Linked DNA regions of Nothobranchius furzeri. The main gene of each other region encodes a partner of the protein of the gene in region 4 in a complex. Links are inferred from orthologs where the notes say so. Each region holds a gene or a part of one and is shown on either strand. Other genes may lie near its edges. The genes, in order: timm17b, timm21, timm17a and timm50.

What was found.
Region 1: timm50 (region 4) and timm17b share a complex: the UniProt entries of both Homo sapiens proteins name them as parts of the TIM23 complex. The link is inferred for Nothobranchius furzeri from reciprocal best matches to the Homo sapiens genes TIMM50 and TIMM17B.
Region 2: timm50 (region 4) and timm21 share a complex: the UniProt entries of both Homo sapiens proteins name them as parts of the TIM23 complex. The link is inferred for Nothobranchius furzeri from reciprocal best matches to the Homo sapiens genes TIMM50 and TIMM21.
Region 3: timm50 (region 4) and timm17a share a complex: the UniProt entries of both Homo sapiens proteins name them as parts of the TIM23 complex. The link is inferred for Nothobranchius furzeri from reciprocal best matches to the Homo sapiens genes TIMM50 and TIMM17A.

Annotation. Positions count from the first base shown.
Region 1 is NC_091755.1:41,958,950-41,966,599, forward strand, and holds timm17b (mitochondrial import inner membrane translocase subunit Tim17-B), read right to left. Parts: upstream 3,922-7,650; 5' UTR 3,864-3,921; coding exon 3,838-3,863; intron 3,413-3,837; exon of another isoform or gene 3,304-3,412; intron 2,849-3,303; coding exon 2,749-2,848; intron 2,679-2,748; coding exon 2,615-2,678; intron 2,518-2,614; coding exon 2,389-2,517; intron 2,316-2,388; coding exon 2,205-2,315; intron 2,020-2,204; coding exon 1,958-2,019; 3' UTR 549-1,957; downstream 1-548. Other genes in the region: pqbp1 (polyglutamine-binding protein 1), read left to right, coding at 4,586-4,652, 4,746-4,857, 5,044-5,144, 5,243-5,443, 5,527-5,584, 6,531-6,681; gpkow (G-patch domain and KOW motifs-containing protein), read right to left, coding at 6,997-7,119, 7,188-7,273. UniProt on the Homo sapiens protein: Essential component of the TIM23 complex, a complex that mediates the translocation of transit peptide-containing proteins across the mitochondrial inner membrane.
Region 2 is NC_091747.1:54,070,993-54,077,860, reverse strand, and holds timm21 (mitochondrial import inner membrane translocase subunit Tim21), read right to left. Parts: upstream 3,409-6,868; 5' UTR 3,220-3,408; coding exon 2,928-3,219; intron 2,806-2,927; coding exon 2,743-2,805; intron 2,637-2,742; coding exon 2,539-2,636; intron 2,455-2,538; coding exon 2,381-2,454; intron 2,303-2,380; coding exon 2,197-2,302; intron 2,072-2,196; coding exon 1,979-2,071; 3' UTR 1,916-1,978; downstream 1-1,915. UniProt on the Homo sapiens protein: Participates in the translocation of transit peptide-containing proteins across the mitochondrial inner membrane.
Region 3 is NC_091743.1:60,933,324-60,940,722, forward strand, and holds the start of timm17a (mitochondrial import inner membrane translocase subunit Tim17-A), read right to left. Parts: upstream 4,789-7,399; 5' UTR 4,715-4,788; coding exon 4,689-4,714; intron 2,963-4,688; coding exon 2,863-2,962; intron 1,851-2,862; coding exon 1,787-1,850; intron 518-1,786; coding exon 389-517; intron 324-388; coding exon 213-323; intron 1-212. UniProt on the Homo sapiens protein: Essential component of the TIM23 complex, a complex that mediates the translocation of transit peptide-containing proteins across the mitochondrial inner membrane.
Region 4 is NC_091753.1:57,196,009-57,203,456, reverse strand, and holds the start of timm50 (mitochondrial import inner membrane translocase subunit TIM50), read left to right. Parts: upstream 1-2,569; 5' UTR 2,570-2,587; coding exon of another isoform or gene 2,588-2,605; coding exon 2,606-2,809; intron 2,810-4,033; coding exon 4,034-4,190; intron 4,191-7,448. Other genes in the region: clip3 (CAP-Gly domain-containing linker protein 3), read right to left, coding at 2,588-2,625. UniProt on the Homo sapiens protein: Essential component of the TIM23 complex, a complex that mediates the translocation of transit peptide-containing proteins across the mitochondrial inner membrane. Has some phosphatase activity in vitro; however such activity may not be relevant in vivo.

The DNA.
Region 1 (7,650 bases), on a different chromosome or scaffold from region 4:
GTCAGAACCTGAACAAGAGTCAAGTCAGAAACGTGTCAGAAGCCCTTCTTGGCTGCTTCGGCTGAGTGTGGAGTTGTATGAGATGAGTCGAAGCTGCACACGGACAGTTTGTCTTGAGTTTTCAAACAGAATCTTCCAAAGGATGACCATCGATAGAGATGGTGGCTGGTCTCTACAGACACCAGAAGAAGATCCAGGCTCTGAGGGAAGACCACTAAAGCTCCAGTCCTGTGAGGCTTCATATCACAGGAACACTCGTTGAGTTAGGCAAAGGTCTAGTTTTTCAGACGCACGCAGACGTGGCTTGATCGTCAGAAAATAAAGATTATTCACATGGAAACCCCTTCAGCAGTATCCTGGGTTAGAAACGGAGCTGGACCTTCCTACCTGACAACAACAACAAGTGAGCAAGAAGCTTTTCTGCTAATCTTCACTGAGGACACAAACCAGCATCAGGGGTCACTTTCATTCTGTCATTTCTCTAGAAAACGTTAAACGTCCTAAACTAGAACAGGTGTGAGGTTAGCAAAAGTACAACCACTAATACATTATCGAATAATATATTGGAACTTTATTGTTCATTAAATATTTGTACAATAAATATATTTAGATAAAATAAACATAGTCTCTGTTTACAGTTCGGAAGAAAATCAGCAGCCGTTCCAGAGCAGAGTGAGCCAACTCACATCAGAACGTTTCATTTTTACATTGCTGACATCTTATTTGATTTCTTTTCTAACCAAACGGTTACAGATCTCACGTGTGGAAACGCAAATTCCACCTTAAGAGCAGGAGCGAAGCACTAGCTCTGGTTAGCGGTGACTGTCACCGCTGACATTTAAACAGAAGAAGAAGAAAAAACAAACTCTTCAGGGTAAAATCCGCTGAGCACACAGAACAAAATGTCACAAATGCACCTGATTACGTGTGTCCTCTGAGCCTGCTGGACTCTACAACACCAGCTCCGGAGGAAACGAGTGGTTTGATCAGTAAGAGTTACGCTTACAGGCTTTTTCTGAAGACTTTTCCTACAGAAGAAACAAAACAAGCAAATGGTTTCCCCACCATGCAGGTCTTGGAGAGGAGCGTGTTGACTGCTGGCTTCAGCCACTGGTCTTTTACTAGGTTTCACAAACAAACTGCAGCTTTAAAAGGCTGCAGAGATGTTCAGGAGGACCAGCGTGTGGGAACTCGAGTAAGAGCTGAGCTTCCTGCAAACCTCTTCCAGGAAAGACCTAGTCTTCTAGCGAGATCCTCAAACGTGATGCAAGCGCGGCTGTGAATGAGCGTGCATCTGGGCTCTCACTGGGCTATCTGTGACTGCTGGGGGCGCCTTTTCAAATCAAGAGGGAATTTCCAAGGATTCTCATTGTCCTTGTCTCGTGTTGCTGCCATTCTGAACAGGTCCTAACAAGCGTTTGTCCCAAAATAATAACAGACGTCTTGCTGCTGATGTCTGGAACCTTCGTCCATTCAGCAGTATGAGACCATTTTACAAAGGGTCCATTAATAAATCTGGAGTCAAATCAAAGAACATTAAGACAACAAGAAAATTAGCATCACTGCGGTAAATAAGCTCCACACGACCCTGTCCACATTCACGCTCCGCCTGTGTGGCTGCCAGCAGTCTCGGGCCAGCGACATCAGCTCATCCAGACAGTGGAGACAGGAGGGTTTTACGCTGAGAGCTCGTGTTTCCACGCGGACTCCAGAAGAGACCAAACATGTTCTCCCCATGTTTTAAACATACGTGTTTAAATCATTATGAATAATGAAAGCATTTATGTGAAACTCAAACTAGATATTTAAGCATAAAGACGACAGCGACAACTCTCGCACGTAAACATTTAAACACTGACCCTGAGGTTCTACAGCCAAGTCCTAAGGGCATTGCTGCTCTGGTCTACAGCTGGACTCAACCCTCTACTGGAACAGCCCTTTTGGGCCCTGCTGCTGGCTATGGGGGGGGCCCTCCGTCCTTCGGAGGAAGCTGACTGGGGTCCTCTGCAAAGGGAACGGCTGGAGACAACAAGCAGAAAGAAGTGAACTTGTCAGGCTTTTCTTGGACGTGCTGCAAGTATCCTACTGGTTATCGGTTTCAAACGACAGATGGCTTAACTAAAACCCAAAAGTGGTTTAAAGATGTCTGCAGGTGTTCAGTTTGAGCACCTGGTGTATATTACAGAGACGGGAAAGGCACTCACGGTTCTGAAACTGCTGGGCTGTGTATCTGGTTAGGAGAATGCCAAAACCTTCTATGAGAGCGAGTAAAACCCCGCCCATCATGGCCGAGCCCATCATGGTCAACGGCCCACCTGAGGCAAACCAAAACATTTGGTGAGTTACTGAGTTCCTGTCTAGTGTTTGGTTGTTGAGTGTTATCCTCACTGCGTGCTGCTAGAATGGCTCCAGTCAGCGCACCACTTGTTATAGAGTTCCACGGGTCTTCTTTCCCTCTCAGGCGAACCAAGCCACAGTCAATCGTAGAGAAGAGACCTCCCCATACGGCAAAGCTACCTGGTAGAAGAAGCACGTCAGTGCTGAAGCTCAGTTTAGAGAAAGGGACCAAAATCCTTCAGTGGTGTGTGAGGAGCAGAGCAGCAACGGGTCAAACCTCCAATCTGTGGGGCCCTCACTCTCACTGCCTTTGCACTTCCTCTTAGTCTGTGTCCAACACCCTGAAATGTTACAGACAGGTTTATAAAGGCTTCCAAGAAGTCAAGTCAAACTAGTCTGTTTTAAACTCACAGCAGGGGCATTTCGGAAGCCCTTGATGGCCTGGAACACCCCTCCACCGATGACACCCATGGAGAAAGCTCCTCCACAGTCGTCCACAATCCTCCAGGGGCTGCAGGAGGTTAGGGGAGGACACACAAGACACCGTCAAAATACAAGATATACAGTCAGATCAGGATACAGACGTCAACGGAACTGCGCTGCTCTGGGTGGCTGCATGTTGGAGTAGCTCTGTTGACTATATGTAAGTTTTGCCTTTTCTTGGGCATTTTTTCTTCTAGTTTCTCAAGAGAAACGGTATTTTTTTGGACACTACTTTTCTGTTTCTGGTGCTGTGAAGCTTGGAGGATTTTTACTGCTATTTTTTAGCTTTTTACACTTTTTGAGCATTTGTTATGATGCGTAACCATGGCAACAAGCTGGTTTACAATCGGGAGCAGCTGATTAACATTGGAAAGGCTGAAATAATACCTCAACTGAAGCCACAAATCCCAAATGAGCTAAAACGCAAGAAGCGTGGGTGCAGAGCGGGAGCAAAACGGAGACAGAGAAAGAGGAAATTCAAACCGTCTCTTCCATCGATCATAACGGGCAATGTGAGATCACTGGCCAACAAGATGGAGGAACTCCAAGCCCTTTCAAGGACTCAGCCAGAGTTTCGGCAGTTTCGGAACCGCTGGAGGAGAAAATGCAAAGGAGGATTCTCCAGAGAATCAAGAAAATTATGGACAACCCTGAGCGTTCTCTTCACAAGACTGTCCGACAACGGAAGAGTGTCTTCAGTCAGAGGCTTCTTCAGTTTGGCTGCAACACTGACCGCTACTGGAGATCCTTCCTGCCAACAGCCATTGTAATATACAACAACTCTTTGATGACTTGTTTATTATTATTATTCTGAGCTACTACAGCAATCAATTTCCTCTGGGATTAATAAAGTATTTTTGAATTGCATTGAACGTAAGCACGTATATATACGTGGATTGACAGCAGAACTCACAACGCGTCTCTGTTCTCTCACATGTTTATGTTTCACTAGAAAAACCAACACTGGTATGTATGTTAGCCGTATTTAGTTTACAGTTAAAGACAAACTAATCTTACCAAGGTTCGCGGACATATTCCTCCATGTTTGTTTTCGTCTAGACGTTGTGACGTCATACACGTGCGACCGGCGCTACTAGTGCGTTGGCGGTGCTAACATCATTTTCTCTGCTATTGGGTGAATTTCTTTATCTCAGGTAAACTTGTTCCTGTTCGGATCCCGTTTTGAAGCGTAAACGTTCAGATTTTCGTTCCTTCCGGGCATGGAAGTACTTACGCAGTCTGCTTGTTGATTTAATCATCCAGCGGTTGCTAACAGGGTTAGCCTTCGGGTAAACGTTTGTTGTTCGTGCAAATAAATGCAGATTTTACGAATGTCAGACTGTTTCTACATCTGTAGTTAAAGTCTTTAAAAATAACACAACTCAAATGTTGAACATAACTTCAACTGAAAACGTAAGAACAGCATTTATTCAAATTGTATTGAAAGCCCGACGCCTTTTACTGCGTGTGCTGTTGGGAGCTTTATGTTCTCCATATTTCATTACAATGTTTTATCTGAAAGGTTTCTGTTCAGATGTTTATTTGTTATAAATTAACTCGTTTTTGTACGTAATTTGGCAGTAAAGAGACGTTTTGTTTATTGGGATAAACCCCGTTGTGTATAATTGAGGCTGTATACTTTAAATATCAGAACACATGAGAAACAAGTAAATTTTCTGTATCTTTGCTGTGGATTTATGAAACCACTGACCTCATGTACAGATGTTCGAGGTGACTGTTGTGACAGCATCTCGTGTTTTTCAGGATGCCTCTTCCTCCAGCTCTGCTGGCCCGCTTGGCCAAGAGGGGGATCGTTAAACCAACAGAACGAGGTTCTCATTTGGCTTGAACACGCTGGCTCCATGCATCCTTCTCTGTGACTTTACACGTATGTCGTGTAACAGTATTTTCTCCTTTAATAACAGGTGCAGATGAGGAGATTATTGCCGAAGATTATGATGACAATAATGTAGATTATGAAGCCACCAGAGCAGAGAATCTTCCTCCAAACTGGTACAAAGTGTTTGATCCAGCTTGGTACGTACACTGTACTGGTTATCTACGGTTCTTTGGTAGTTTTACCTCCAGTGCGCTTGTGTTTGGGTGTTTGCAGTCCAGATGAAGCTTTCCAGTGAATTCACAAAGCGATGTCATTGGGTCTCTTTTACATGTTTAGTATGTAAGCTGATTAGCCTTCTCTTCCTGATTTCCTGCCACCCTCAGTGGTCTTCCTTACTACTGGAATGTTGAGACGGATCTAGTCGCCTGGCTGTCCCCAAATGACCCCTCGTCTGTGATAACAAAAGCTGCCAAGAAAATGAAAGGTGGGTTTAAAAACTAAACTCGCCAGTTTTGCATAAGTGTCTTTAAAAAAGAAACGAGGAATGTTTTTCACAGAAATTGCATTATTATTTGTTTTTAGCTGATTTGGGAGATGAAAGAGGAGAGCGACCGTTTGAGAAGCCAGACAGAGAGAGAGAACGGGAAAGGGACAGAGACAGGGATAGGGACCGGGAAAGAGAAAGAGATCGGGACAGAGACAGGGACAGAGATGATGGGCGGGACAGAGACAGAAGAAAGCAAAGGAGGGACGACATGGCACCATACAACAAGAACAAAAGAGGTGATGCTTACAGAAGTCTTTCGTTTTCACGTTAAAGCTTTATCTGTGATACAATAACAGTTAAAATCTGATCGTGTTTGCAGGAAGAAAGGATGACGAGATGGACCCCATGGACCCCAGCGCTTATTCTGATGCTCCCAGGTAAAGTAAAACAAGCAGCAGGCAGGAAATTACCCCTGTCGTCATTCCACTCAGTTACATGTCAGCTTCAGCTTTGTAAGTTAAAGAACAAAGCAGACATTTAAGTCTTTAATTGAATGCACAGCACTGCAGCAGCGGTGTAACATGATGCATGCTGGGTAGAAACTTTGGACGACTGCTGCTGGCACTGCAAAGCAGGCGCCAAGTCACGTGGCTCTGAAACCTCATGGGAGCGAGGTGGCTGCAGTTTTCTGAGTCACACGCTGCAGTCCCTCTCCTCCGGTTTCACCCTCTGGGCTGGACCCGCCGGAACTGAACTCTGGTGCATGATCATGTTTTTATTTACGTCTTTAAAGCTACTTGAATCAAACATGTGATTTATACAGTTTTAGCCTCGGGGTCTTCTAAAGTAGTCGTTCTACTTTCATTAGTATCATTTTTCTTTCGGCCAAGCTTTCTGCAGTCTAGGCTTTAAATTCAGCTAAATCCCGTGTTTTGGAAAAGCTGCACCTGTCACCTTGACCCATTATTACAACTTTCTTTACATATTATTTATTCAAAACTCAACGCCTGGCTTTATAGTGATGGCGTCTTTAGCCGCATCTATGGAAATGCCACTAATGCACACTTGCAGGAATAAAATTTGTAGTTTTCAACAAGTGGATTCCTGGAAGGCTTCTGGCTGAAACGGGTACTAAAGGGATCGGGTTCTGTGGTTTGTCCTGTCGACTGAAGTCAGAACTTTAGGTTTTTTTTGCAGAACAGCCCAACACATTTGTGTTGTGTGTAAAAACGCTCATTTGTGAGTCACTCTGGACAAACGCGTCTGCTGAATACACGAAACGGTCAAGTTAACCAGCTGAAACGGCTCTAGCGCTAGCTAAACAACCAGGCGTTAGCAAACAAGCTGGCCCACTCTAAAGGTCTGCTGAACTGTTTTCCACAGGGGCTCTTGGTCGAGTGGTCTTCCCAAACGCAACGAGGCCAAAACCGGTGCAGACACCACAGCCGCCGGCCCGCTGTTCCAGCAGCGGCCGTACCCGAGTCCAGGCGCGGTGCTGCGGGCCAACGCTGCCAACCAACCGCCCAAGGAATGAGAAGCGCTCCCACGGAGACGCTCTGCGTCCTGCGCACACCTCTTGTTGTTAGACGTGATGTCGCATGCTGACATTTTAGAGATCAAACTTGTTGTAAATATGTTTTATAATAAAATGGATTTCATGTTGTTACTAGAACCACCAGTTAACATAATCAGTTCTTACTCTGGTGAGAAAAGCATCTGCTGGGGCTCGTCGTAACTGTAAGAACGCCTGCACAAACACTTTTCCAAGGTTTTATTAAAAATTCCAAAGTGTTAAAATACTGTCCATCATTAGAAAAGCAACACTTAAGACGAGGCGAAGGACCAGGCTTCAGTGGTCTCCTACGTAGTGACAAATGCAGTCGTAATCCAGCGTGAACAGCTCCTCCTCGCATCTGTCCAGCTGGACCGTGGCTCTGCACTTGTTCTTGTCCCGCTGAAGAATCCGGCCCACCTGATCAAGCCAGAGAAGCTGGTCAGCGACGGTTATGATTACACAACCAGTAAGGATCATCTGCTCACCTGGCCCCTGTTCTCCCCCAGCACAACCATCACAGAGTCGTACTCGCCTTTAGGGACGATGGTTTCCAGCATGTCCTGCTTCACATCTGGCACAGTTAAAACGGTTACCATGGCAGCAGCCAGGAGATAATTACATGAACACTAATTACCTGCACAATGACATCTTATGCTTCTCTGCAAGGCACCGATTAGTCTCCCACTAAAAGTCCCAGCATCCCTGCAGGAATGCATGTCACCCTAAAGGGTTAGAGCCGTTCTAGTCAAATCCTAAAAACACGCGAGACCTCGACTCATCAGTGCACGTGGTGTCAGCCGCTGCCACGTCGACTTTACTCCAAACACCCCTCATCTCCACAAGTCTAAAACGGAAAACAAGTCCCGTCTCCTAGAGCCAGCCGTCTGTAGACACATTACTTGTCCGTGTGTGTGTGTAATCTGTCTTCTCCATCCCCAGTGTGTCGTG
Region 2 (6,868 bases), on a different chromosome or scaffold from region 4:
CAATCCTTAGATTTCAGCTCAGTCCTCATAGAGTAATCCTACTAAATCTTCTGTGGATCATAGTAGATTTGATGGATTGTGTTCAGTCTCTTTCACACCCACTGAAGACGGGATGGGAAACTCATACAGTCCTGATGGCGGGACGGCCCAGTTCTATTTCAACCAAACGGTGTAGGCAGATAAAGTAAAGGTTTGATCTTAATCCATCGTCCGTATTGTCGCTCATGCCTTGCTTTAAGTGCTGCCTGATTAATTGTACATGTGTAAATACTCTGAACACAGACTTTGTCTTACGAAATTGGACAGTTGTGAATAACTGACCATTGTACATCTTTAAACCATATGTATAATTTATTAAATCAAAGTGACCGTTTCTCTTTTCTGTTGTATTCTGTTCTGTATGGAAATTGTTAAAATCAGGAAGTAAAAACATTTCAAACATTAAAGTTCTAGATGATTCCCATTGTAATGGAAGAAGTAGGGTCAGTATGTGACTGGTGGAGGGGTGATGGACTCATCCTTTGGTTTTAGAAGTGATGGAAGTATATTCCCAAACAAATCCTTGAAAACTGCAGGAATCTCCTGAAGGTCCCTGGTTGTGGTTTCCACCAAACCTCTAGTTGCTTCTGATGGAAACCTGGAGGTGGATCAGCCTGTGGCCGATGTCAGTAACCCTCCCATCTGGTTTGAGGATCATGCAGAGGAACTTGCAGAAGAAAATGGAACAAGAAGTCTGGTGGTACTGACACATCTCCCTGAAGTCCTCCAGGCACCAGGGTTCTAGGGTGAACTTGTAGACCTCAGTCCATGTCTCCCACTTTGTTGTTATATCACCCAGCCGGCATGCAGAAATAAAGCTCTATAACTTTAGGATATCCAGAAGCAGAGAGAACCTCGGTGACAAGAACACAGCAAAAAGAACTGGAGACACCTGAGTCCAATAAGACCAGCTCAGTCCCAGTTTTAGTGGACATTTCCTAAGAAGTCAAAATTCAAAAACATGTATTTAGGTTAATGCCAGGGATTATATGAGTTTATCCACTATAATCAATATTTTGTAAGACTGTCTCCATCTAGTGGTCACTAGTGAAACATTCAGCCCATCAAAAAAACTTTCAAACATACTCAGGACGTTGTGGATTGGTGGGCAGAATACTTCAAAGACCTCCTCAATCCCACCGATACGTCTTCCAGTGAGAATGCAGAGTCTGGGGACTTTGGGTTGGCCTCTCAACTCTGGTGCTGAGGTCACTGAGGTGGTTAAAAAGCTCCTCTGTGGCAAGGCTCCAGGGGTGGATGAGATCCGCCCGGAGTTCCTTAAGGCTCTGGATGTTGTGGGGCTGTGTTGGCTGAGGCAGCTCTGCCAAAGCTTGGTCATTCGGGAGGGGCTCGAAGTAGACCCGCTGCTCCTCCACATCGAGAGGAGCCAGTTGAGGTGGCTCGGGTATCTGGTCAGGATGCCTCCTGGACGCCTCCCTGGTGAGGTTTTCCGGGCACGTACAACCGGGAGGAGACCTAAAGGTAGACCCAGGACACGGTGGAGTGACTATGTCTCTCACCTGGCCAGGGAACGCCTTGGGATTCCCCCGGAGGAGCTGGCCAAAGTGGTTGGGGAGAGGGAAGTCTGGGCCTCTCGCCTTAGGCTACTGCCCCCGCGACCCGACTCCGGATAAGCGGATGAAAATGGATGGATGGATCTATTTTTTGAAAGTAGATAAATGTTGCAAAAAGAAATGCCCAAAATTTTTAATTTAGTCAAGCAGAAGAGTCCGCGTTTATTTAAAAAGAAAGCCCCCCTGAAGGACACTTTAGGACAGATCAGCAATAAAGAGGGGTCAAAAGGTCTAAAGCAGGGACACAAACTGGACTTTGTTGAGTCATTTAACACATTAGTTTCAAATTAAAAAGGACAAGATTGTAATCCAGTGACCAGTGCCTTGTTTATTTAAATAATGCAGATTGTGAACAGCAGGGGTTCTCATCTGTTGTCCTCTATGATGATGCTCCGTTTGGGGTAGGTATCTAGATCCACGAATATATAACGAAATTCATATTTCCCCGTTTCTGGGTTCTGAAGTAAGAAACCAAAGACAACAAATCAAAAGACAATGGATGCAGTTTTCCTCTCAGCTCTTAGTATTTGATACCAGCTATTATAAAATGGATATTGTGTGAGCAGATCAGAAACCTACACACCTCCTTCGACTCTGAATGAACAGTTCCTTTCAGGCCTGGCTCGGAGCCTTCAATGTAAAACTTCAGTCTCAAGTGCTTCAGTCCATCCTTCAGATACTCCAGATGACTGAGGCGAAAACAAAAACAGATTAAAAAACAGCATAATCCCAAATAAACACAGTTTTATGCCTAGTTTAGTTTGTACCTGAGATGCTGCCTCCTTCCTCTGCGGGTGGTCTCACCGTAGCACTTGATTGGCTCGCCAAATGCCCCGATTACCTGCACTTTCAAATCAAAAACAGCACCGTGCATGTAACTTTATACTGAAAAGAGCCAAAAGAGTAAATCATTTGTCATTCTCACCTCTGGGTGTGACCTGACTTTATCAAAAGCTTTTGCGTAGACTTTATTTGGGCTTTTGGACGAAAACAGCTCCTGGAAAACCACATACAGCAGTCCACCTAAACACAAACGCACACATTTTTATTTATTTTGACAGCAGCGGGTAAGATCAAATTAAATATGCTGCTAATCACACGTTTGTTTCTGCAGTCTGGCTACTCTCACCTGTCACTCCCAGTCCGATGATCACAACTATCAGGTAGGTGAAGTCTTTACCAGCTTCTTTTACTGGAAGACACCCACAATGAGACTTTAGTAAACAACAGCATGCAGTAATTGGCATAAACTAACCCTAACCTACAGCATTTTGTACCGTGCTGCATAGCAACATAGCGTTAGCATTAGCTTACTCTTCTGGGAAGCTGAAGCTTTGGGGCTTGCGCGCTGATACCTGGACACCGCCGCTTTGTTCTCGTCCTCTGGCCTGCTCCTGTTTCTGGCTGAACAGTGGAGCGGTCTCACAGCCACACGGAGACAACTCAGCGCAGACAGAGGACTATCTGTCCCGAGAAGGACCAGTCCTGGTGTTGTGGACAAAGTCCTGCGCGCGTGAGCTAACAGTCGCAACTGACATGTTTGCGCTGCCGCTGTGTGTTGCAGACTTCGGTGTAACAAGGCTTTTAAAGGGTGAAGATACGCCATTATTGTCAATAAACCCACATTGAGGTGAACGGCAGTACAAACTACAGCGGCTGGCCTACTATAGTGTATAATTATGTCACCGTGACGTTTAATTATAGAACATTAATCGGCTAATGTCACACAAACAAAGCTGGTTTAGGTCGCACCAATATGGCGTAGCTTCTTCTTTGTTGTCTTTATTAGGAGTAAACAAATCAGCTTGGACTACCTCCACCTACCGGACAAAAACGAAACAACAAGCTTGCAATACCAGGAACATTTCCCCCCATTTGTTATGGTGGCTCTTGTGTAAATCCTTGTGAGTCGTTTTCTGTGAAGAAAAAAGTAAAACATTTGCTCTTCTGTTTCAGTAAGTAGAAGTTAGATGGAGCAGAGATCTGAAATGTTCAGCTAGCTGCTAATATTTCCTGCTTTAGCTCATTGATTCCATCTGGTTAAACACAGATACATTAGATATATTTATTGAGTTTTAGTAGTTAAGTAGTTTGAATAAGAGAAGATGTTCTGGCTTTCTCATTATCTGGACTAAACTATGCTATGTTTTATTTTGAAAGAACATACAGGAAGTAATAATGAGTATGGTCTTGTTTAGCTTTATTAACATTGACTGTAGTAACAGTTTTTGTCTTCCAGAGGACGGAAATATCCTTAATCTTAAAAGCCATAGACTGAAGGACTGAGTTCGATCTACATGATGCAGGAAACGTTCACATCCTGGTACTTCTGAGAAGAATTTACAGGAAGTGTACTAATTATTGTAACTTTACAAGTGCAGTTCCCCATTCTCCTCTTCCCTTTCCTCATTTAATCAATACATTTGCAGTAGTCTCTAGTAGGAATAAACATCTCGTGTGTCATACTCTGGGGAAAGAAAACACCGGCGCACCATTTTCAGGAACTAGAAGTGAGCCACATCAGAGCTGAGCTTCAAACGGCGGCTTTTCCGGAACTGCGCTGCTCTGGGTGGCTGCATGTTGGAGTAGCTCTGTTGACTATATGTAAGTTTTGTCTTTTCTTGGGCATTTTTTCTTATAGTTTCTCAAGAAAAACTGTATTTTTTGGACACTTTACTTTTCTGTTTCTGGTGCTGTGAAGCTTGGAGGATTTTTACTGCTATTTCTTTTAGCTTTTTTCACTTTTTGAGCATTTGTTATGATGCATAACCATGGCAACAAGCTGGTTTACAATCGATAGCAGCTGATTAACATTGGAAAGGCTGAAATAATACCTCAACTGAAGCCACAAATCCCAAATGAGCTAAAACGCAAGAAGCGTGGGTGCAGAGCGGGAGCAAAACGGAGATGGAGAAAGAGGAAATTCAAACCATCTCTTCCATCGATCATAATGGGCAATGTGAGATCACTGGCCAACAAGATGGAGGAACTCCAAGCCCTTTCAAGGACTCAGCCAGAGTGTCGGCAGTTTCGGAACCACTGGAGGAGATAATGTAAAGAAGGATTCTCCAGAGAATCAAGAAACTTAAGGACAACCCTGAGCATTCTCTTCACAAGACTGTCCGACAACAGAAGAGTGTCTTCAGTCAGAGGCTTCTTCAGTTTCAATTCAATTCAAAAATACTTTATTAATCCCAGAGGGAAATTGATTGCTGTAGTAGCTCAGAATAATAATAATAATAATCAAGTCATCAAAGAGTTATTGTATATTACAATGGCTGTTGGCAGGAAGGATCTCCGGTAGCGGTCAGTGTTGCAGCCAAACTGAAGAAGCCTCTGACTGAAGACACTCTTCTGTTGTCGGACAGTCTTGTGAAGAGAATGCTCAGGGTTGTCCATCATTTTCTTGATTCTCTGGAGAATCCTTCTTTGCATAATCTCCTCCACTGGTTCCACAGTCGTCCCCAGAACAGAACCAGCTTTGTTATTAGGCTGTTGAGCCTTTTCAGGTCCCTGCTTCTGATGCAACTACCCCAACAGACGATGGCTGAAGAGATTACACTCTCAACAACAGACGTGTAGAAGATTTGCAGCATCTTGCTACAGACATTGAAGGACCTAAGCGTCCTCAAGAAGTGCAATCTGCTGTGTCCCTTCTTGTAAACAGCTTCACTGTTCTTTCTCCAGTCCAGTCTGTTGTCCAGGTGAACTCCAAGGTATTTGTATTCCTCAACCACCTCCACTTCTTCTCCCATGATGGAAACAGTGTTTGACTCCACCCTTTGACTCGCTGCAACACTGACCGCTACTGGAGATCCTTCCTGCCAACAGCCATTGTAATATACAATAACTCTTTGATGACTTGATTATTATTATTATTTTGAGCTACTACAGCAATCATTTTCCCTCTGGGATTAATAAAGTATTTTTGAATTGAATTGAATTTTGGAGTCTTATTTCCTGATATTTGGACATCTCGCCTCGGATTGGATAACCATTACACGACATACCACTGACTTGCAACGTGGATGTTTTTTCTCCAGAACTAACTCAAACATGGAGGAGTTCTGCCATGTGGTGGTAAGGCTAACAGTTAGCTTCTACAAGCTGGGACGTTCTCTGCTGATTTCTAGCGTCAGGAAACTACACACAGTCTCTTTAAATGACAATGTGACGTAGATCTGTCAGGCTTTTCAAATCCTAGTTTCACCGTCTATCAGAAGCTAATGCAGGAGATAGGTGTAGGAGACTATTTTCATGTTCAGCCTGCATGAAATAATTTTTCAGTGTTCCACACCTTTAATATTAATATTCACAAGAGGAAAAAAAAGTTTTTTTCCAGCGTCCCTGATATAAGGAGGGTATTCGCTAAATGGCACTTTCCTGCCCATTCATTTGTTTGGCTTGTATAAAAGTTTGAAGATCTACTTTCTCCACCTAACTTTATGTGGAAGAAATGAGTTGTAACAACGTAATCAGAAAACATTAGTTTATTTAAAATGTTCAGTCCAGCATTTTATTCTCATGATTTCAAATAAATCTTATCATGGATGTTAAAAAATGTACAAAAATAGTCGTGAATGTGTTAAACATAGATCAGAGGGTATCAGTAAAAGAGTGATTAAACAAATGTTAGTTGATGGGCTGATAAAATTGAAAACACTCAGTTTTTTTCAAGTTTATTTCATTTTAAATATTCTCTGCCATCATTTGTTTTCTTATAAAAAGCAACCTGATTCTCTACTGTGAGAGTGTGACATCAAAGTAGAAAACAAGTGAAATAAGCAGTACGCTCACTGATCGGATGGTCACATGAAAATGATTTGAGAACCTGAATCTGTTTTTTTCCCCTCCTCTATGAGTAGTTTTACATTAAAGGTACCATAATTTTTCAAATATCAAACGTTCCGCCTTCTGTCTGAAATAACCAAATGCTCAGGTGGTCGTCAGCACCAGCCAGGAGTGGAGCAGCACGGGATGCACCTTCATCGTCCAAGGCAACGGAGAAAAACCTTATTAAGAAATGTAAAAAATAAAAATCTAATTCTCATCACAGCACTCTACGTCAGTAATCAGGGGAAGAGTTCACTCAGGATGCACACGGGAGAAAAAGCTTAGCTCCAAATGCTGTCAAACTTGGCAAGATGCAGTGGACTGATGCATCTGTCTGATGTATCTGCAGAGAAATAAAAACATTATTACTGTAAGTCTGTGTGTTGGTTATTAGCTGCCTGGGCTGCCTGTGATTAAACTTT
Region 3 (7,399 bases), on a different chromosome or scaffold from region 4:
TGTCAGGTGTTGAGTAGCAACAAGCCCAGCCAACATGTCCCTCTTTGCCAGAGCAGACATCATCCTTTAATTTTAGGGCTTTACTTAAGACAACCAACATTGACATTTAAAAATATAAAAACATGTTCACTGAGACCGGGCGTACCTAATGCATATCAGAAAAACATCCCACAATCTCTGCCGAGTGTTTTTACGGGACAAAAGTTACTCACCAGTGGGGAATTGTGAAGAAGCAAATCTTGTGAGCAGGATTCCAGCGCCCTCTATCAACGCCAGCAAAATACCTCCCATAGCAGCAGAGCCAACCATAGCAACTGGTCCATCTACAGAGAAACACATATTTTATACACATGCCTTCTGTGGTTGTGCGTCCACCTAATGTACTCACTCCTCGCAGCAAGGATAGCTCCTGTCATGGCCCCGCTTGTTATCGAGTTCCAGGGATCCTCCTTCCCTCTGACTTTTACTAAACCACAGTCGATCATTGAGAAAAGGCCTCCCCACACAGCAAAGCTACCTGCAACACACACATTCACAAACACTTTAAAACGTTCACTGAGTATAGGTTCCTAAAAAAGACACTCAACCCCCAAGCAAATGTTAAATAGGAGGCACCAGATAGATTTATTTTGGATTTCATAAATAAAAGTTATAAGGTGACTTGAGATTATCAGCTAATTCATTTCGCTAAAACTGGCTGTAGCAAGAAAAAAGTGAAATATAAAAGTGCAAGCAAGAGGTTTACTTAAATCATTTTCATGTAAACAACATGATGCCAACTAGTTTGCAAGTAATGCAATTTAAAAAAAAGAACTATATAAAGATGTTTTGATAGGGATGTTTGACATGCGGCCTACCATTAATACCAGCTGATAATGGAGTTGAAATGAAATATCCGTATTGATTTTTACTCTTTTAGTGACCCAACTTCATACCATGCACATATTATACATTGACTCTTTAGTAGCTATTTCTCTCTCAAAATGTCAAAATATCACAGATCTGAAGTTTTATTTTTATTTTACTCAACTTGTGGAAAAGTAGGATGTTTCTCTGTGTAATGAAAATATGCTGTCCTCACAGCACATAGCTATGTGTAGCTAGCCAGCTAGCTACACATAGCTATGTGTAGCTAGCCAGCTAGCAAACCACTAAAACAAAACAGGAATCTTCCTCCAAGGCTCGCTTTTCTCATCTGAAGATTTTTGAAAAATGTTTCATCATAGGTGCAATATACAAAAAAGGAAAGAATACATTACCAACTATTACACACATCTTAGCATCACGCTTAGCAATTAGCCTAGCTTAGCATGTGTGTACATTGCTTATATTTAATCAACTAAGTAGAATAGAACAGAACTTTATTGAACACCGCAGTGGACATTTTTCTTTGACTCTCCAGGACCAAAAAACATTCATAAATACATACACTCATTGTGACACTGTGTACTATGGTTGGAGCTTATTTACACTGGTAAAGGATCATTACAGCAGTGGGAACAAATTACTTTTTATAAATATATTTGGTTGCCATAGGCACCGTGTAACACCTTCCAGAAGTGTATGTTCCTTGCAGTGTTCCTCGTCCTTTCAGCAGCGTGTTTGGGGATGGTTTGTTGTGGTCTGCCCATGAGATAATTTATAAAAGTTTAGCCTTAGATCTGCAGCTCACATGACCAAACCAGGCCAGGAGACGTAGTCAAAATGCCCTCAACACTTCAGTTGCATAAGTTCAAATACACCCTAACCCATACATCCCTTGTTTCTGATCTTCTTTTTCTCTTACCTCCTAGTTGTGGGGCTCTGGTCTTGATGGCGGTTAAACTACCCCTCATCCTGTGACTCATCCCCTGGAAAAGGACGAAACATGGATCAGTGCTGAATGATTCTCAGCTCAGGAGTTGAAGTGATTTTCTCGATACAATTAAAAATCTAAAAACTACAATCAACTTTTCTGATTCAGATAAACACAGACCACAGCCCTCTAGTTGCATTTATGGGGCTGTGCATAAATCCAGAGGCTGCATCCTTTCAAGGCCACATTTTAAGGTTGATTATGCCACAGAAAAGTGACAAGGCCTTCCAAATATGAAGGAAACTCAAAATGTGTCCTTGTTTTCCCCAAATATCAAGGACAGACTAGTGGCTAGAAATCGGTGTCAGTCATCCGCCACAGAGAACGGCTGATCTAGCTCTAGGTAATTTGCTCAGTCTTCCGACGGTCACGCTCACACAGATGAGTGTTGGTGAGTGGCTGCAGTTGACTGTTGATGCTCCGTGTTTTTATTTCTGCAGGAAGCCAAACTCACCTCACACTGCCTGGAGTTTGTTCTTCAAAATTTTCATTAAATCCACTATGTTAACACATTTTTACGAGCTTCCTCCACGATGCATTTTTCACTGCAGGAATTAAAGTTTACATCACAGAGTAAAAGTTCTGCAGACAAGTTTGTTTACATTTTAGCCGCTGCGCACCTGCGCAGTGTGAGGCTAAGGAGGGGGGACGCAATGCTGCTCTCAGGGTCTCTGCGGGCTGCGAGTAGGACCGACAGATAGCTGGTATGATCGGCTCTGAAAGGCATTGATCAGAATTTGCATATCATGCTTTTTTCACGGAGATCGACAACAGATTCTTCTTCCGGTCAGCAGCCTTAAATCTGAACGATTCTGGAAAAAACTGACGGTTAGTCCCGGTTCCAATCGATGCCCAACCCAACAGACCGGGTAATCCAGGTCCTTACTAGGATACTATCCCTGGATTTGGACCCATCCAGCATCCTTGACCAAGCCATTAAATGTCAAGGCTAGTCTTCATGTGAGTGTGTAAAAGGGAACCCTGTAAAACACTGTTGGTTAACTTACTGAAGGTGCATTTCTGAAGCCTTTCACAGCCTGAAAAATTCCTCCACCAATAGCTCCCATGGTGAAAGCTCCACCACAGTCATCCACAATCCTCCAGGGGCTACAAGTAAAAAACAGAATTCAAAATTCTGATCTAAAAAAAGTCTCAAGAAAACTTTATTTTAGTGTTAAAATGCAACACAGTCATGGATGATGTTTGAAGTGTGTGCTTCCAAGCTGAAGTTCAAATAAACACACAGTCTTAATTGGAACTGTAGCATTTACTATACGGGACACACAGAACTATTGAGATTAAAACAAACTATGAAGCCTCAAGAAAAAAACTTTTTTGTGTCAATTTTATGGGGGGGAAAAAAGAGATGTAATTAGGGAAGAGTTTACTGAGATGAGCGATCCCTAGCCCTGCAGCCAGAACTGTAAATAGAGATAGGTGCAACAAATAGAAATGCTTAAAAGAGTTTGATTTATACCAAAGAGGAACAAAATGTGAATTATTAAACACAGCAAAAGGTCTGGTGACAGAGTACACAGACACTGATAACTATGTCTTTTAAACTGTTCTGTTTATGTGATGTTTGAATAATTCTGGTAACCACTCTTATGAAAACAGATGACAGAAATTGAGCGATAACCCCCTAAGTTTTTCTTCAACTCATTTATATTTAACATCCAAGAACCAATTTCATGCAGTTTTTCTAAAATAAAGTTTTCTGAAAAAATTTCATGTCTGATTCAGTCAGACTATTTTTTCAGTCAAGTCTTTGAACCTGGACTTGGTTTAGAATAACACCTGAAGAATGACGCAACTCTCATCACACAATTTGAAGACTGATGAAATTTTGAGCTCATTTCTTACACTTCATTTACTACACTTAGAAATGTTCAGCTTTACAAAAACTCTACAAATCTGCCATACCTGTCAAAGTATGTTTTTTGACATTTTTGTCTGAACAAAAATGAACAAATTACATGTGTTACAATACTAAGATCCCAGTTATTGAGAGAGATCATTGTATGAGTGGATTAACAAAGCAGCATCATAAACAGTTTTAAAACACTCAATAGCAGCAAACTAACAGCTGACATATAAAGCCAACTTCTTCTCACTGGAAATGATTAAAAGGCATTTTTCCCTGTCTTGGATTTCAAACATTAACCTAATTTAACCCTCAAAATGTCTTGCTATAAAACAGCATTTGTCAAATTTTAAATGATCTCTTGTTAAACCTGTTTTTATAAAGATGACCCAGCTAGACAACTAAGGTGTTCCAGTGTTAGGCATATTTAATATAACTCAATAGGAGTATCTCAGAACGTTTGATATGTATATGTCTGATCATACGATTTTGTCTTAAATTACAAGTTGTGTAATATCCGGATGGTTAGCACACTGGTGGCTAACTGAGCTAACAGCTACATCAACAATGTCTAATAGCCTAACAATATCTGAAGACGATAACTTTTATAAATGCTGTTAGTGATTAATATAAACTGTGACACTTATAATTCACAAAGCGTAACTTCAGTTCCTGAATTTACTTTGATGACATGTGGACGAGAAAAACGGCAAGGTCACCAACAACGTGATTTAGCCTTTCCGTTCTGATGCTAGCACAAAAGCCCATTAAACTCAAGGAGAAATTAGCATTTGAGCTAAATTGGCCAGCCGGTATTTTTTTTTCCAGGTGTATCGGGATGTGCCACAAGCTTTAACAATAAATATAAAGATGAAAACTAAATGCAATGCTCATTTTAAATTAGATAAAATTGGCTAATTTTATTAAAACAACGTAAACTGTAACATTTATCGTTATTTTGAAACTTACCACGGCTCTCTGGCATATTCCTCCATTTTGTTCTTTAGCTGTTACCACTGACGTAACGTAACGTCACTTCTTCCTTAAAAAAGAAAAACTTTATTGAAAAAAAATGAACAATGACAAATTTTCAACACAGGACTTTAATCACGCTCCTTCAAGACACTAAATTAAAAGAGAAGCAAAACCTTGTAGTGACATATATATTAAAACACATAAGGGCGAAAATAAAAAGAGGTACAAAGTACAAATGAAACAAACATGGAATACCAAACCAGTAGAAAAACAAATACTAAATAGAAGGAAATCGATAAAAATTAAGTTGTCCTATGAATGTGTAAAGCCTAATTGCAAGAGAATTAGTTTCAAACATTTTTGTAAAACGGAAGATAATTTTTAAACGCCATTGGGTGAGACTAGGCATATGTACATGTATGTAGGTCTATATACTAATAATACTTTGTAAAGATAAGATTGTTTATAAAAACAATGCAGTTTTTCTCTTTTAGGATTATACCAAACGGAACAAAGATTCACGGAAAGATTTCTGACAGTGTCACATTCATGCTCCATGTTCATGCTCTGTTTTCTCCAATGTTGTTTTATAGATGTAACAATTTTCATATGACCCCCTCTCTCTCTCTCTCTCTCTCTCTCTCTCTCTCTATATATATATATATATATATATATATATATATATATATATATATATATATATATATATACACACACACACACACACACACACACATATGTGTGTGTGTAAAGTACAGGCTAAAAGATTGGATACAACTTCTCATTCAATATGTTTTCTTTATTTTTCATGACCATTTACTGTACGTTGGTAGACTCTCACTGAAGGCATCAAAACTACAAATGAACACATGTGGAGTTATGTACTTAACTAAAAAAGATTAAATAACTGAAAAAATGTTTTATATGCTATTTTCCTCAGAAAAGCCACCCTTTTTACTACATAATATTTTATAGCCATACTATGTTAGAAGATTGTAAAAAGGGATGAAAAAATGTTTTAAGCTAATTTGTTTTCCAAGTTTCTTAAAGCAGCTTTAATACCTTCAAGTTTTCCTGATTTGACAGGGTAAAGCTGTGGAAAAAAATCCACTTTGTTCTTTGTTTCATAAAAAATGGTTAAATGAATGTTCCAGGCATTTAAAAAAACTGTAATACAAACTTCTTATAAACCGCAAGTTGGTACTATTAAAGTTCTTTTCTGCTTTTAAACGTTGACATAATTTTTCTGCAAGCCCGTGTGTTAGTGTTAAAGCATTTAACGGAATGTTTTCATTCCCTCTCCTGTTTTTCTCCATCAGAGACTGACGCTGCTGGTCAGAGGAGCAGCTACAGCCAAGAGACAGACAGCTGGCATGCAGCCCATTATTAGAAAGGGGGAAAGGAATGACTTGCAAAGCAAACTCTCATTGAGAAATGACCAAATATGGAAGCAGAGGCTGAAGCAGGGTTTGGAGAGATAAACAGTTGCTGGTAATGCTCATGCTCCCCTTTTCCATGTCTGAGTATGCTCAGATGATGGTTACCTTTTCAGCCAGAGTTGCCATGCAGCTTCACATGAACAGCATCAAGTAGAACACATGAAAGAAAATCTCCACTTTAAAAATTGAAAAGTTGAGTTTATGGAACAATTCTGCACTCTGTGTGAATAAGGAGTAAGGCCATGTTTACACAAACAATGTGTGTGGTTCATTTTCGTATGGCTTCCAGGTGGACTGCCATTCACACTGACTGCACATCATGTTTGGAACATCTCCATTCAATTCAATTCAATTCAATTCAATTCAATTCAATTCAAGTTTATTTGTATAGCGCCAAATCACGACAAGAGTCGTCTCAAGGTACTTCACATAATAAACATTCCAATTCAGGACAGTTCATTAAGCCAATCTGAAATAATTTTTCCTATATAAGGAACCCAGCAAATTGCATCAAGTCACTTACTAGTGTCAGTGACTATACAGCAATCCTCATACTAAGCAAGCATAAAGCGACAGTGGAGAGGAAAACTCCCAACTCTCCATAAATTTAATGGTGAGTTGATGCAATAACAACTACATGAACGGAGAGGAGATGTTAAACAAAATGCTCATCAACCATCATACACTCTGAGCCATGGACGTAGTTTTGACTTTAGAAGTGGGGGACACACAACCGGCATGAACACTTGGGAAGGGGGGGTATCTTTACTGTAGGTTCTAATGGGAAATGAGCTTCAACACAAACGGTTGTTTTCTGCTTGGTCCTAGTGCTCCACCCGTGTCTATTTAGAATAGTGTAATTTTGTTTTTGGATGGTTAAAAAGTGCAGAGGACAAAAAATGACTTTGGAAAAAGAAGGGGACCCCCCCCCCCCCCCCCAAAAAATACTACGTCCCTGCTGTGAACCGATATCTCTGTCATTAATAATAAAGCAAAAGCCGGAAAAAACAATGCAGCACAGGTTTATTTTGAAAAATACTGGATGGTGGATGCCCCTTGCTGAAAACATGTCTCACTTCCTGTCTGGCTCATGTCAGTTCTTTAGCTTCCTGACAAACCGCATGTGGCATCTGGAAAAAATAGACTCTATGCAGAAACTAAATTAGTTGCATGAAAACTGTTGATAAAAAATCCTTACACATTAATGATTCAGTATCAAAACACATAATATCAATATTTTCTGCAATTGCTAATTGTTTTACTTTA
Region 4 (7,448 bases):
AGGGGGAGGACCCAACCTTTCCTGGATGTCCTATGTCATATATTCTGGAAGTTGTGCAAATGCAGGGATGAGAGTAGATATTCTGCTGGGATGGGGCTGGGTTGGTGCCCTCAGACTCCGTGAGGCTCTGTGATGCTGCTGCTTTGGGCCCTGGCAGGATGGGCTGGGTGGCATTTTGGCAACAGAGGTGCCTATTGGGGCCAGTGGGGGAGCTGGCTCCCTGGAGGGCTCAAGTCCAACAGGCCATTCCTCCCCATCCCCAAACATTTCTCTCCTCCTGCTCCCTCACATCATCGCACAAACATACACATAGGACCATGGGGGGTGGACAAGTCAGGGGGTGCGGGCATGGACCCCATTTCCGCATTCCTGTGGCAACCAGCCCCCCAATTTTATTTGCACCTTAAACACTTCCACCAGCGACATTCCACGCAAACACACACTTAGGGCCTCGGAAGTGAGCACATTCAACGGCATTTGGCAGGGGGATTTTTCAGCCTCATCCCGAGTGCCGGTGCCCACTTCCAATTTTAAACCGCACTTAGACACTGATGGCTGAGGGTGTAAGTGGGGTGGTGCGGTGGCATCAGCTGGCGTAGGTCAGATGATGCCCGCACTGCCCTCTCACCACAGCCATGGAATACACCTCATCAACATGCACTAACACAAAATTGGATAAATAAAATAAAATAAAATTTGAAAAAAAAAATCCCACACAACAAACTGACTATAAATGAAACATATCTATGAGCAGCTTTTATTCCAGGATACAGTAGTCACATGATCAGAACTGCAGGACCCTGATGTTCTGATTAAAAGATGGAAACTGCGTATCTGACATGAAGAGCAGAGCTGACCTGTCCAAATTATCAGTTTCTATAACGCCCTCTTAGGGTTTTACAACCTCCTAAGGTGCTTCAAAACACAATTAGTCATCCACACATTCACACACTGCTGATGATGAGCTACAATGAAACCACAGCTGCCCTCAGGCGCACTGACAGAGGTAAGGCATGCCATACACTGGAACCACCTGTCCTTCAGACCACCACCAGCAGGCACCAGGTGGGTTAGGTGTCTTGGTTAGAGTTAGGGTTAGATCTAATCTGCAACCTTCAGATTACAGCCTGCTCTACCTCCTGAGTTCTTTCTGTTAAAAGTTGTGACAGCTCAACTTAGGTTGTTATCTGGATGAACAAGAATGTTTCTGGAACGATGTCCCATTAAATAGATGTTTACCCATAATGCATGACAGCACAAACAGCTGATCCCAGCAGTCAGCACGGTGGTGGAGGGCTGATGGTTTGGACTGGTTCCGACCCAACAGGACTCATTAAATCCACCATGAACTCTTCTGGATACCAAAGCCTCTTAGATTCTAATGTGAAACCATCTGTCTGACAGCTGGAGATCATCTCAAACTGGGTCATAAAAGATAATCATGATCCAGAACATGGAAGCAGATCTACAACAGAATCAAGATGTTGGAGAGGTCCAGTCAGTGTCCAGACCCGAACCAGACTTAGGACCTTCAAAGAGCTGAATGTCAGCAACCTTTAAGAAGAATGGAGCAGAACTCCTCCAGAACCATGATGGTGTCAAACAGAAGATGATTCCTGAGTTCCTGAAGGAGGATCTACAAGCTTAGGAGCTTTAGTCTTTGTTCTGATTGTTTTTCTGTATTCAGTCCAACTGTGGAGAACCCACCACAATCACCTGATTGTGATGGTGGTTTCCTTAGGGTTACCAGTCTCAGTCAGATTCAGGCCTCCTGTAATCTCACGTTTCCATGTTAAAATCAGGCCAAAGCTGCAAAGTGATCCTTTAACACAGATGTGACATTCACTAACAAACTGAATCTTTCGTTCGGCTTTTCAGATTAAAAGATGAGAACTGAATCCTTGTAAAAGAACCATTCCGCTTGTCTACTGGTGACGCCCACACCCATACGAATACGTAAACTGCACCACTGGGCGCTGGAGAGAGTAACAGCATTGCCGCCATATTGGATGGGTTCCGCACTTTCCAAACTAAGAGTGGGGAACTATGCCTGTTTTTGGTGCAGCCTACGGTTGCAACCATAAACACAGAGTGGTTGCAACACCTGGCGCACTGTTGAAAACAGACCACGTGGGATTAATATAGACTTTTCTAGCCTTCCTTTTGGGATTTTATATTTTCATTCATTTTGTTTATATTTACATTTTATTTATCATGCCATACCATGCGTCTGACTTAATGAAAAAGCATAATAAAAGGTTTGTTTTAGTAGGTTTATAGTTTCTCCGTAGATATAGTTGCACGGGGGCAAATAATGACCCATCCAAGATGGCGGCTCGCTACCTCACAAACTACCTACAAAGTCCCATTTGACTAGGGCGAATTTGCCACCAACCGTCATGGTGGTTTTGTGTCGCATCCGAAGGTCAGACTCATTTTCACTTCTGATTGGTCTAAATTTACTAAGCACCGCCCTTCTTTTAACCACGTGGACAACTCCGTTTCTGATTGGACAGTGTACTGGTCCGTCAACGCGAGCCAAACCAATCGCAGATCTTTGTCTTTCAGTCTTGCGTCACACGCTCACCGGCTGCTACAATCCAAGATGTCGGCTGTGTTCCCCATGTGTGTCCGAGCGAGTCACGGCCTCCTGAGGCTCAGCAACGGAGCGGTAGGTGCTTCCAGGCTGGCAGCGATGGATATCATCCGGACACTCTCCACAGACGAGCCGTCTGGCGGACCGCGCGGCGCGACGAGCGGACTAGCTCAGGCTATCCTCCAGGAGCGACTCCAGCAGCACCAGAGCCAGGTGAGGTGCGCTCGGTTTTCTGTCCAGCGGCGAAGGCAGTGCAGTTTGTACGTTTAAGTCATGACTCCGCCCTTCCGAGAATCCCCATTATATCAAACCGAAGCTACATCTAGCCACGGACGGCTAAGCGTTACCTGTGCAGGTTTCTCCACGGGAGGGTTTATATTATTGCTCGTTGGTTTTATGTGTTGCTGTAGCTGTGCGTGACCGTAATCGTGGGGTCTGCAGGTAAAATGCTGCGTCCTCTCTCATACTGACTTCAGCCAAGCTTCATTCTGTTAGAAAAATAACAGTCAAGGTGCTTTAGGCTAGAAGGACAGAACAGGACCTTCTTCTCTCCTCTAACTCATGCCAAACATCTCCGGGATGTTAGAGTACCCATCCATCAGTGTTTGAGATCCCATTGCCCTCATAAACGGTGGCTCTGTCAGAAGTTTTATTTATTTTCTGGCTGTATTGTAAAAATACTCACCTGTTCAGGCTTTTATTTTTGTATCATCTGCAAATCTGTGATTTCACCTGGTCAAAGGCGCTAATCCTGGTTGACCCACCAGATTAAGGACAACATTTGTTGAATTAAATCTTTTTGTTTGGTGCTTAATATCATTTTTGGAGGTAACAAGAGGTCCAGCTAACGTGTCTCAGTGCAGCATCACAGCTTTGACTTGTAATCAGACTTCAAGGCAAGGCAGCTTTATTTTTATAGCACATTTCACACACAGAGGCAGTTCAATATGCTTTTCCATTAGCAAGAATAGCAAGAACATTAAAACCAACACGACATGGCATCGGCCGATACCGACATCGATGCCGATATATCACGCATCCCTAATTATGTCACCAAGATTCTAACCTGGGTCTTTATTCCTCCGGAGACAAGTCGATCAATAACCTCCATCCTATCCTTCAGATTTCCAAAGACAAGAACTTCAGTCGTGTCTTTAACTGGAGGAAGTTTGACTGCATCCAGTCATTAACCTGCTCCAAACACTGGCGGTGTGAGTGGAGAGGACCACAGTCACTATGTGATAGAGCTAGGTAGATCTGGGTGTCATCTGCATAACTATGATAGGTAATGTTGTTATTGTATGACCTGGCCCAGGGGGAGCATGTAGAGATTGAAGAGCAGTGGTCCGAGAATTGATCCTTGGGGGGACCCCACGTGTCATGGTGATCTGCTTTGACTTCAAATGAAATATCTATTGTTATTGTTTGTTTTTCCAGGGCCAGCCACCTACAGAAGAAGGTCAGAGCAAGAAGGAAGGAGAGCAAACAGATGACAAGAAACAGAAGGAGAACATGGCCTATGCAAAAAAAATGGTGCTGCGGTTGGCGGGACTCCTAGGCCTTGGCGGAGCGGTCAGCGTTGTCTACATCTTTGGTGAGTAGGGCTGAACGATTTTTCGTTTTTGGACCGAAATCGTGATTTCAAACAGCACGATCACTAGGGATGCACCGATACAATACTGGTATCGGTATCGGTAAAAGTTAACCGATACCAGTAAATGATACCAATGCAGTTGCTTGACTTGACTTGACTTCACTTTAACTTGTCATTTCTGTTCACCTAATATTTTAGTTTTGTAATCACTTATATTACTTTTTATCTACCTTACAGTCTTTTCCTATTGAAAACAGAAGAAAATAAAACCTGTATTCCAATTCATTTAATTTTTTTGTGTGGTAGAAGTATCTGTATCGGTATCGGCGAGTACTCAGATCCAAGTATCGGTATCAGTTTGGAAAAAAGTGGTATCGTTGCATCCCTAACGATCACGTGACCGTCAAAGCTGCGGTTTTTGCGTTTTTGACTGATGTAACATCCGGGGTTTCCCCGTGTGTTATGGTGGCGGCAACAGGCAGCGCGGGGGAGGGGGTGGGGTATACTGTCCAGAGCCGAGCCCAATTCCACAGCTGACTGAGTTGCAGGTTATCTTCCATTTTAGTTTTCCACACACAGCGGGGGCGCAGTTGAGTGGGGAGAGAGAGACTCCTCCCACATCGGCGGGTTCAGGCTCAACGTCACTTTTGAGATACCCGAACCACCGCCACACTACTGACGTTGAGTAACTTTTCTTCTGAACAATGTCATCATCTCCAGAAGACAACTCCGAGTCATGACTGGGATCTACTTCGCTGTTTTCAGCTCCACGTTTGGCCATTCTGCTTATTAAACCTCTTCCTCGAAGTAGCGGAGCAGGAAAAGTGTAATTGCAAATGCTTCTTCTTTTTGTTAAATGGCAGTGGGCAACCAACGCGCATGGAGTGTTAGCGCCCCCTACTGAGGCTGCACACATCTGTTATTTCTGATCGAGACTCCCAGCTGATCACCGTAATTGAACTGAAAATGATCGTGATCACAAAGTGCGATCATATGATTGCCCAGCCCTAGCGTGTTCCCCTGTCCTCCGGGCCACACACACACACACACACACGGGACTGTCTCAGCTGTTATTTTCGTTAAGGAGTGTGCACGTACAGCATGCGCGCCTCGTGCACGAGCCTACTATTGAAGCTGCCGTTAACGCTTTTGGCCTGAGGGGGCGATCGTGAGCATAAAAATTAAAAACTCTGTAAAGTCCCTTTAAGTTGTAACATCCTTTTGTTGGCATTTTCTACATAGATTACCCATACATGTGTATTAAATTAAACCATTTAACAATGCTTTTAAACCTCTTTGAAACATGAAATAAAATAAAGTAAATCACGTCTGTGACCTTACATGACACATAAAATAAAGCAGTTAATAAATCATTACCTTTTAACATGCTTAACTTATCTGTATTCTTTAGCACCTTCTAGTGGACAAAAGAGTCCTTTTTACTCAGCAGAACACCCTACAACATAAATGTTCAAACATATACACATTTACGATTCAACATTCAAAACCCACCATGTTCCTCATCAACAAGGAGCTCAAACCATCGCAGGTGTTTAAGAAATAAACCTTATAAACCGTAATTTCCTTTAACACCTTCCGTTTACCTCCATGGAGTTTTCCCGCTGCTGTGCGGTTTGCGACACTGATTTACGGCAGCTTGTTGCTCTGTTCTTTCAACAATAAAAGCCGTTCCTTCAAAATAAAAGCATCATCCGTGTTATACAGTAAAATAAGGAATAACATTTGTAACCCATGAAATGCAAATGAATGGACCATTAACACGGTCAGTTACAATCACATCAGGTCATTTTTTAACTGCTTGTTGCCATGAGACAACAGAGGACGTTCTGCTCCAAATCATGTCCTCGTCCTCCCATACTTGACTCTCTGCTCTACTCTCTGGGAATGTCCTAGCATTCTTGAGGATTGAAAAACAACCTGATGACGCAACAAAGTTTTAAAAAAGTCCTCTATTCATCAAATCTTTGACATAAATGCCATTTATTTATTTATTCATTACATTAACCATAATTATTAACCTATGAAGTTGTAATTATAAAATGATTAATTAAACAACTCAGCAGCCGCAGATTTCAAAATGTAACGATCGTTATTTAAAAGATGTCTTAAGAATTTAAAACCACATTTACCTTGTTGTTAATGAATAAAGGCAGCTTGGGATGTCGAGTGTACCAAGGAGTCCGTGCCGCCTCATGTAATGTTGTAATGAACGCAGGTAGACCGATATATTGGGCCGACATTTTCCATTTTTTATACATTGGTGTTGGACGATTTTTGTTTGACTTTAAAAAGAAAAGAAAGCAAGAAAGAAAATAATCTTTTCTATAGCGCCTCTCAAGATAAAAATCACGAGGCGCTTCACAAAATCAAAAATTTTAAATATAAAAAAGAATTTAGAAAATGTCTAAAAATGTGTTTAAAATAAGCAAAATACACAATTTTGATTAAAAATGCAGAGAGAGAGAGAGAGAGAGAGAGAGAGAGAGAGAGAGAGAGAGAGAGAGAGAGAGAGAGAGAGAGAGAGAGAGAGAGAGAGAGAGAGAGAGAGAGAGAGAGAGAGAGAGAGAGAGAGAGAGAGAGAGAGAGAGAGAGAGAGAGAGAGAGAGAGAGAGAGAGAGAGAGAGAGAGAGAGAGAGAGAGAGAGAGAGAGAGAGAGAGAGAGAGAGAGAGAGAGAGAGAGAGAGAGAGAGAGAGAAAAGGCAGAATAAGGAGAGGGTGATGAAGGTCACACCAAAACCAGCCTGAACAGGTGAGTTTAAAGGAGACCACCGAGTCCACTGATCTCAGGCTCAGGGGGAGAGAGGTCCAGAGTCTGGGGGCCACAGCAGCAGATGATCTGTCACCTTTGACCTTTAGCCTGGTGCTGTACAACCAGTAGGCTTTGATCACTGGACCTCAGGGACCTGCTGGGGGTGAAGGGACTAAGAAGATCACCAATGTAAGATGGTGCTTGTCCATGTAAGGCCCTATAGACCAGAACCAGGATGTTGAAATGAACCCTGAAGTTGACTGGCAGCCAGTGAAGCTGGAGGAGAAGTCGGGCACATCCTCAGACAGCCTGGTGCTGTTGCAGGATTTAATTTGTGTAGTTTTAGGTCCACTAATAACATCTTCATTATAAATACTCAAACTTAACTTAAGTGTCTGATTGTAACACTAAACATTACACCAAGTTAAAATGTAATAGTTAGTTAAATTCCGAGTTCAACAACCGGTTGTGCAGCAACCGATGTTATT